Drosophila melanogaster: one gene and its partner. The protein of the gene in region 2 purifies or fractionates together with the protein of the main gene of each other region. This does not show direct contact. Each region holds a gene or a part of one and is shown on either strand. Other genes may lie near its edges.

Evidence for each region.
Region 1: the proteins of knrl (region 2) and CG5953 purify together in Drosophila melanogaster (affinity purification with mass spectrometry, with the first as the bait; one large-scale study listed by BioGRID). This does not show direct contact.

The regions. Positions count from the first base shown.
Region 1 is NT_033779.5:16,531,220-16,534,977, forward strand, and holds the start of CG5953 (uncharacterized protein), read right to left. Parts: upstream 1,659-3,758; 5' UTR 1,502-1,658; exon of another isoform or gene 1,240-1,501; intron 1-1,239.
Region 2 is NT_037436.4:20,618,473-20,622,230, reverse strand, and holds the start of knrl (knirps-like), read left to right. Parts: upstream 1-1,571; 5' UTR 1,572-2,489; intron 2,490-3,758.

The DNA of each region.
Region 1 (3,758 bases), on a different chromosome or scaffold from region 2:
ATACTCTAAATGCCATTTTGGCTGTTTTTTTTTTGTTTTTTCCTTGCATTTCGTTTGCGACCTCGTGGTATTTTTAAGTAGCACAGTTTTGAGGGATTTTCTTGGAATTCTGCGGTCTTATATTTGTACTCTTGTTGTTTACTGATTGTGAATAGTAGAATTTGGGTTTTTCTGCGTTCAAAATTAATTTGCATGTCTCGAAGCTTTGATTTGTTATTTGATTACCAAGAAAATGTGCGACTGTATGGAGAATTTATCAGGAATTTCTAAATGTCACCGTTTTTATTGTCTTGTAATGTGAGTCAGGACGGAAATGCTTAGGTTGCCATTTTATTGGATGTTTATTTATAAATAAGGTGTGTTGTTCATAACTTCTTGATTTTACTTTAATTGTTTCTGAACTTTGCTGAATTTCTGTAGTGTAGTGTGTTTGCTTCGGATTTTAATATTGAGAGTTATATAATCTAATTGATCTTAAAACGAAGCATTTTGATTGCACAGATTTTTTGATACTTCACGCTTTATTTGACTGATTTCTTCGACCATTTTGAATTCATTTAACAGCGCTGCCGAAATAAAGGTCTGAATCAGAAAACGTTGAATTTGCATAAAATCCATGTTATCCACAATTTAGTTTGTTTTCGCCTTTTGTCATTTTGAATAAAGAAGAAACTCAGGGAGAGAAACACAACACAGGCCAAAACAAATTAAACAACGCAAAAAGTAAACAACATCCAACGCGAAATTGAGCACAGAAACTTAAAAATACATTTCAAGGCGGGCGGAATGAAATAAAAAACAATTTACAATCGAACGCAGACACACTCGCGAACGCACATGCTATATGTGTTTTGAAATAAATTTGAAAAACACTTTTTGTTAAATATTTGTTGACTTATTAGGGGTGTTTCTTTCTTTATTAAACCAACATAAATATTTGTTTTCGAAGCTGCACAAGGTTTTCCAGGGGTTTCAACATATTTGATGTATTTCGATACATGGTTTTTATTTAAAAAATATTTTTGAAAATATTTTTAAAGTTTAAGTTTCACAATGATTACTTGATTTTTCCATTCGTAAACAATTATTTTTGTCTCACAATTTGAAAGTAGGTTTCTTATATTTTAGGTAACATCCATACTTAAATTTTTTTTAAATTTTTAAGTACATATGTGATGTTTTCATTAATATTTAATTGATACGTTTACACAGTTTTGAACTACATTCATTTTTATGCACCTTTATTTTAATTATGCCCTTTAAAAGAATTATGCTGATAATAACTTAATTGCGTACATTACAGTTTTCGCCGCTTTTCTAAAAAAGGGAATAATATTTCACACTGATATTCCCGTCCATAAATACCGTTTGAATTAGAAAATAATTCGATATTTTTGGTTTCTGCTATCACTTCTCCGTTATTTGTTTGGCAAGCAAAAAGGAGGCTCTGACGAAAACAAACATCCTTCACGCAAAAAACACACGTACTGTCGATATTTACCGCTATTTCAAAGGCGCTGTTGCGCTTTTACGGCTCCGTATTTTTCCCGTTACGCGCGCAATATTTCATCGAAACAACTACAGCTTTACCGTTAATTACAACCGCTCGCGAGTACCGGATTTCGTCGACTGTTCGGGCAAACAGTCGCAAACCTATTGGCATCGATTTGTAAACGCACCGACTGCGCTGCCGACGCAGAAGAAGAAGCAGAGGCAGAGTAAACAGTTGTTTCGTGGAAAAACAAAACGAACATCGTAATGAAGTTCTCTTTGGCCTGTTGTGAAATTCTACAGTGCCTTGTCATGCTTAAGGCAACAACAACGTCGGTTGAGGGTGGGTGGGGGGTTAAGAGAGCGGCGGAGAGAGTTATTGCGGGAGAGAGAGAGAGCAGTGCAGTGCGCGCCAAAAAAAAACATTGGCAGACATACAGGAGCGGCTAAGAAAATAGTATTTACCTAAGCTTTTGCTCTCTTTGCCAAAACAGTTGTTGCCATAAAAATACAAAAATTACAAAAACTTAATTAAATTGTCTGTTATTAAATGAACAACTCCGTTTACTTAAATGTTTGGTAATCTTTCTCATCACGTAAGTGATATATATTTGATGTGCATCATGCGTGCTTTTCTTTGTTACCTCTGCTGTGTGAAGGCTGACTGCGGCGCAGCGTTGACGTCGACAGCGCAGTTGTTTTGATAAAGAGCAAAAGAAACACGACAGCAACAACAACAACAAAAGGGGGGGGGATAGGATGGGATGAATGGTCGGTTGGTGAGGGGGTGTCGGCTGGAGAGGGGGAGGGGTGGCGGACCGCTTCTTGGGCCGCACACACATACAACGACACGCGCGCAGCCGAGTCAAACAAACAAATAAAATGTGAAGCAGAAATGGCAAAAAATTAAACAAACAAGTAGACAGGAGCGGTTCAGTGAAAAAAACGAGTTGAACGAACCGAGGTCGAGACAAAATAACAAAAATAACAATAAAAAGCCATAATCACAATCTGCTTCGCGCCAAAATGACACGAAATGTCTACTACGTCGTAGTAAAATTCCTAAGACCCAAAAAAATTAAACAAAAGAAAGTTCAATGAATGCGGTCTTACTTCATAATAGAATTGTGATTTTTATTACTAAAATCGCTGAGTTATTTATTAAATAATTTTATGAATGTGAGATTTGACCCAATTCGTAAAAGTATTATTATAAAAAATAATTATAATTATACCTATTTAATAATATGTACGTGTACGTGTGTATGCAAAGTAAGTAATTTTCATAAAAACATAGCTTTAAAAATATTCCAGAACTCTATTTCTATTTTAGATACTACCTTGTTAATACTGTCTGTGCACTCAAATGGATTTTCTGAAAACTTATTAATAATAGAAATGCAAAGCTCTAAGTCTTCTCTTTTCTCCGCACTTCATAAGTTCGAAATATTTCCTGCTTTTCTATTTCACTGCCTTTCTTGTGTTTCTGTTTCGGTTTCTATTTATTTTTGTTTAGTTTTGTTTGCTCGTTAGCCGAGTGGGCGGTACATTGGGGGCAGGTGCTCTCCCACTTCTATCTCTGTCTCTCTCTCTCTCTCCCCCCACTACGTATTTCTCTCCAAATGTATCTCGCTCGCTCTACTTGCTTGTTTGTTTGTTTTTCGTGGCGTGTTTTGGTGTTGTTATTGTGCTTGGTGCGTAGTTTTTACGTTCGTCATCGTTCGCCTGGTATTTCCGTCTTCTGCCGGCATCGCTGCTCACGCTCTGCCGCAGCGCTGACTAAATGGTTTGCCTTGAGTTGTTGTTGTTGTAGTTGCACTATATATTTGTGTTTCTTTTTGCGCGCAAACGGATTGCACTTTTGCACAGCAAAAATAAATTCATATAATATTCATCATTTGACATACATATGTAATTCTTTTTTGACGACGGTTCTTAAATGTAACAGAATTACATAAATACAGTAAACATCTTTTTTTGATACATGTTAGAGAATGAAGCTGAGATTAGTTGTTCAAGCGTATTGCACCAATTTTTTTCTGGTTTTTTGTGTAAAAAAAATATATACATATATAATAAAAAAATAATTATTAAAAATAATAAATAACAAGCACCAATTTGATTACATACATATTTTATTATAAACACAATTAAATTACTTACACAAATTGTTGAGTTTTGTTTTATCTGTTTTTAATTTATATTTTTCAGATATTCTTTTGTTTTCATCACAGTCGGCACGCTGCTTTTTCCTCGGCTGCAGTCAA
Region 2 (3,758 bases):
AACTCCATCACTCGAGTCTTACGTACTCCCCTCTCTTTCGGAGACACTTAGTCCCTCTCATTCGCACTTTCAGTCGAGATCGCTGGAAGTGGGCAATGTTCGATGGACTTTTGTTGAGTTCAGGGGAGGTGGGTGGTGGGTTAAAACTCCCCGATCGATAGACCACGCCCACTGGCAAGCCGCTAATACGATTTCGATGGATGCGTCTGTGTGAGTGATCGCTCTCATTGATCGCTCTCGTTTGCATGGGTAGCTCTCAGCCAGCTGCTCTGCATTGGTCAGCGAAACGAGAACATATATGCCGGGTATATAACTCGCCCGATGCACGGGAGATGGCCTTATAGTCCGGTCTCGTTTTCGCCCACGGCAAACGGGATCGGCTCGTTTATCTAAAACACCCGACGACGACTGCAGCACGATCCCGTTTTGCGCTGGTGTTAGTGGATTCCGCTCTCATGAGCACGCCGCTCTCTTTACCGGTTGTCTGTGTGAGTATACTGGATATAACGGTGCTCCGATTGTGTTAATCGAGCCAATCAAATGTGGTAACGAATTCTTCGAGTAGATATATTCACGAGAGTGTGTGCCCTGTGAGTGAAGCACTCAAAAGCCGCACAAAATGGTGAGCGATTGAGAAAAACAATCGAGTGCAATATTCAAAGTGAGCAACTGGAAAAATAATGATGTATTTGGAGGCAAATATTGTATATTGTATTGTATCTTATTTTTTTGAACTAATCAAGTATGTTATATTGTTAATTTACTATATACCACATTTGATCAGCTTGCCATAAATATTCCCCAGTTATATAACATTGGACACTAAATCAACAAAACTATGTTCCTTAACAATCGTTAAATTTATTAAATTATATTATATTTATCTAACGAATAAAATTGATTATAAATAAAGTAGAAAAAAGAAAAAGGAAATACTTAAGATTGGTCAAATTAAACAACACGCTAAATAGACTTAGATTACATCTTAAACGACTTATATTTGTTCGCAGTTACTAGGAATTTATTATTATATCTTAACCGAGAAATAAACTGTGCAATTTATATATATATTGCAAACACGACATGCATTTTTTTCTAAATTTGTTGGTGCCTTTTCTATAGTTATAGTTCGTATTTATGTTAGTAATTATACGTTTTTAATATATGTTCATATGCATTTACTCAGTTTCAGCTTGATCTGTGAATACAACTCAATAGCCGAATCGACTCGGATTTGAGTTAACATCACTCAAACAGCGGCTCACACAGACAGGCAATTTGAGTCAAAGTCGCTCTTTTAAGTCTCACTCTCGCTCTCTCTCTCCCTGGTTGTCTTTCGGTTGGGGGTTGAGAGTTCGGGTGTATCACCGTTAGAGAGAATCGGAATCGTCTTCTTCCTCACACACACAATCGCACCCCAGCTGGGCTCGAGTTTGTCGCTTTTGCAGTCTTTTGTTTTTGTTTCGGTTTCTGTTACTGCTTCTTCGACCAGTTTGTAGTTTTTGTTTATAGTAGTATCATCTCCCCGGCCAGAGATATTGTTGTTGCTACTTCTCTGGTAGCCGAAGTCTCAGCTCAGTGTGCTACCGAGCGTTCGTCGGATGATATTGCAAAGCATCTGAGTCGCCGAGTCGCAGCGGTGTGAGCACTTTGCAGAACTGCTTAACATCAGTCTTTAGTGATAGCTCGCGCTTCTTGCTCGCACGCTCGATCGCACGTCGCCGTCGTCGTTGCGTCGTCTTCGTCTTACGTCCCAGGCGTTACGTTGTTTTGGCCGCCGCTAAAAATCAACACATGCAAATTAAGATCAAAAAATTACTCAGTTAAATAAAATGAATTGTAACAATACTACGAATATGTATATGTAGTGCCAACTGAAATAGTAGAGTTCAGTCTGTAACACGTCACTGCAAAAAAACTCAAAAGCGGCAAACGAAAGCGGAAATAAAGAAATTTACGGCAAGTGCGCGTGCGCAGCCAGGAGTGCCCTCACACAAAGGTGTGGTCACTCCATAAAAACTCGCATTCAAAACACAGAAGGCGTAAAAACAGCACCAAATAAAGTCCCACGGAAATATCTCTAGCTAAATTAAAATTTAACCATACTGCAAAACTTTAAAACTTTGTATTACAATAAAAATTATACAAAATATTGCCTCCTTGTGATATATGTACACCCTGCTATATGCAAAAACACACATACTCAAACAACCCAAAAGATATATATTAAACATGCTTCACGCTCGCCTAAAGTTCTAAAAGTCAAGTGCAATTTGAGCAAAAACAGCAACAACTCTATACGCTCAAGTGACGTTTTATTGGCGCAAGGTGAACAAAAAATAATAGCAAGCAAATACACGAAAATACACAAAACCTTAAACGGAAAGTTCACAATGTTAGGAGACGCAGACCTTAAGTGCGCAACGAAATAGAAACACTAAGCAAATAAATTGGATTAACTTGATAGGCTGATCGGTCAGTAAAAGCAGGTAAGTTCAAAGGTTCAATGGCGCCCTCAAAAAAAAATATAGAAGAAACGGAACGAACGGGCTTTTTTGAGACACATCCATCATGCGGACATAAAAATGGGGATAGAGATGGGGCTTCGGAGTTGTAGATGGGGAACATGTGAATTTCATTAACGAATAGAATTCATAAAACAAAAAAAATCAAGATGAAGATGGCGACGCCAGATAACGCTTGACAATCCGACTAACTGACGAACTGTCTACGACTGTCGGCGGGGTTTGTATGATTTAATTATACAAACCATATACACACTCCCCTATATGACACTTATACGACAGCCCAGTAGGAGCTATAGCCCCCAGCTACGGTTTTGTGAGAAAGTTTTCTCTGGCCGATCTTTGTTGACCAGTGCACTTTTTAGTGTGGCCATAAAACATGGCTAGATCAACAACAACAACCATGCAAGGGCAAGGCAAATAAACTTTACGACTATATAACAGAATCAATGTAAGTCAAGTGCGAGCGAGATGGCCTGCACAGATATAGTCGCCGCACATGTTTGCTTTATAATGCAAATAGCGTGTATAGCTTTATTTGCCAGAATATTTGTTACAAAAATTCGAAAACGCAGGCGAAATCCATGGGAATGGCATTAACTGCGGCACTGAAAGAAATTATTGCGCTCAATAGCGAAGGAACTAAATGGAAAGTGGTGCTGCCTAATCCATCAAGGATCAAAAATAATTATTTTGATAAAATAATTCTTAGAATATTCAAGCTGGAAATTTGTGAACATTTTAGTTTGCTTGATGCTGCAGCTTAAATAATAATTTATATAATATTCTATTGATCAATGAGAAATGCCTATCATCTAACTATATTTACAAAGAAGTGACTTTTCAATTAGAAATAAAGTGATCATTCATTTTTGGAAATTCAGAAGATTTGTATCTAAAAAACTGATAATTTTTTAAAGTGCATTTTGCCCTGACTCGCTTGCAGGCAAATGAAGAATCTAACTTGGATTGCTTTTGCATGTGTCGCAAATATTGGCAGAACCTATATACTCGCACTTATGGCGAGTGCCTTGTAAGTTTGCCATGTTCTACAAATCGCAGAGTGCGCACTTATTCTAGTTAGCTGGGGCAATCTTCTTCACTGGTTGATTTAGCTGGCACCTTTTAAGATCACAGCTCTTTCCTGAGGCTGTTCCTTAGACCAACACTCTAAAAAAAGGTATGCACCTAATGCAAAATTGGATATTTGGATATTATTATATTACACTGAAG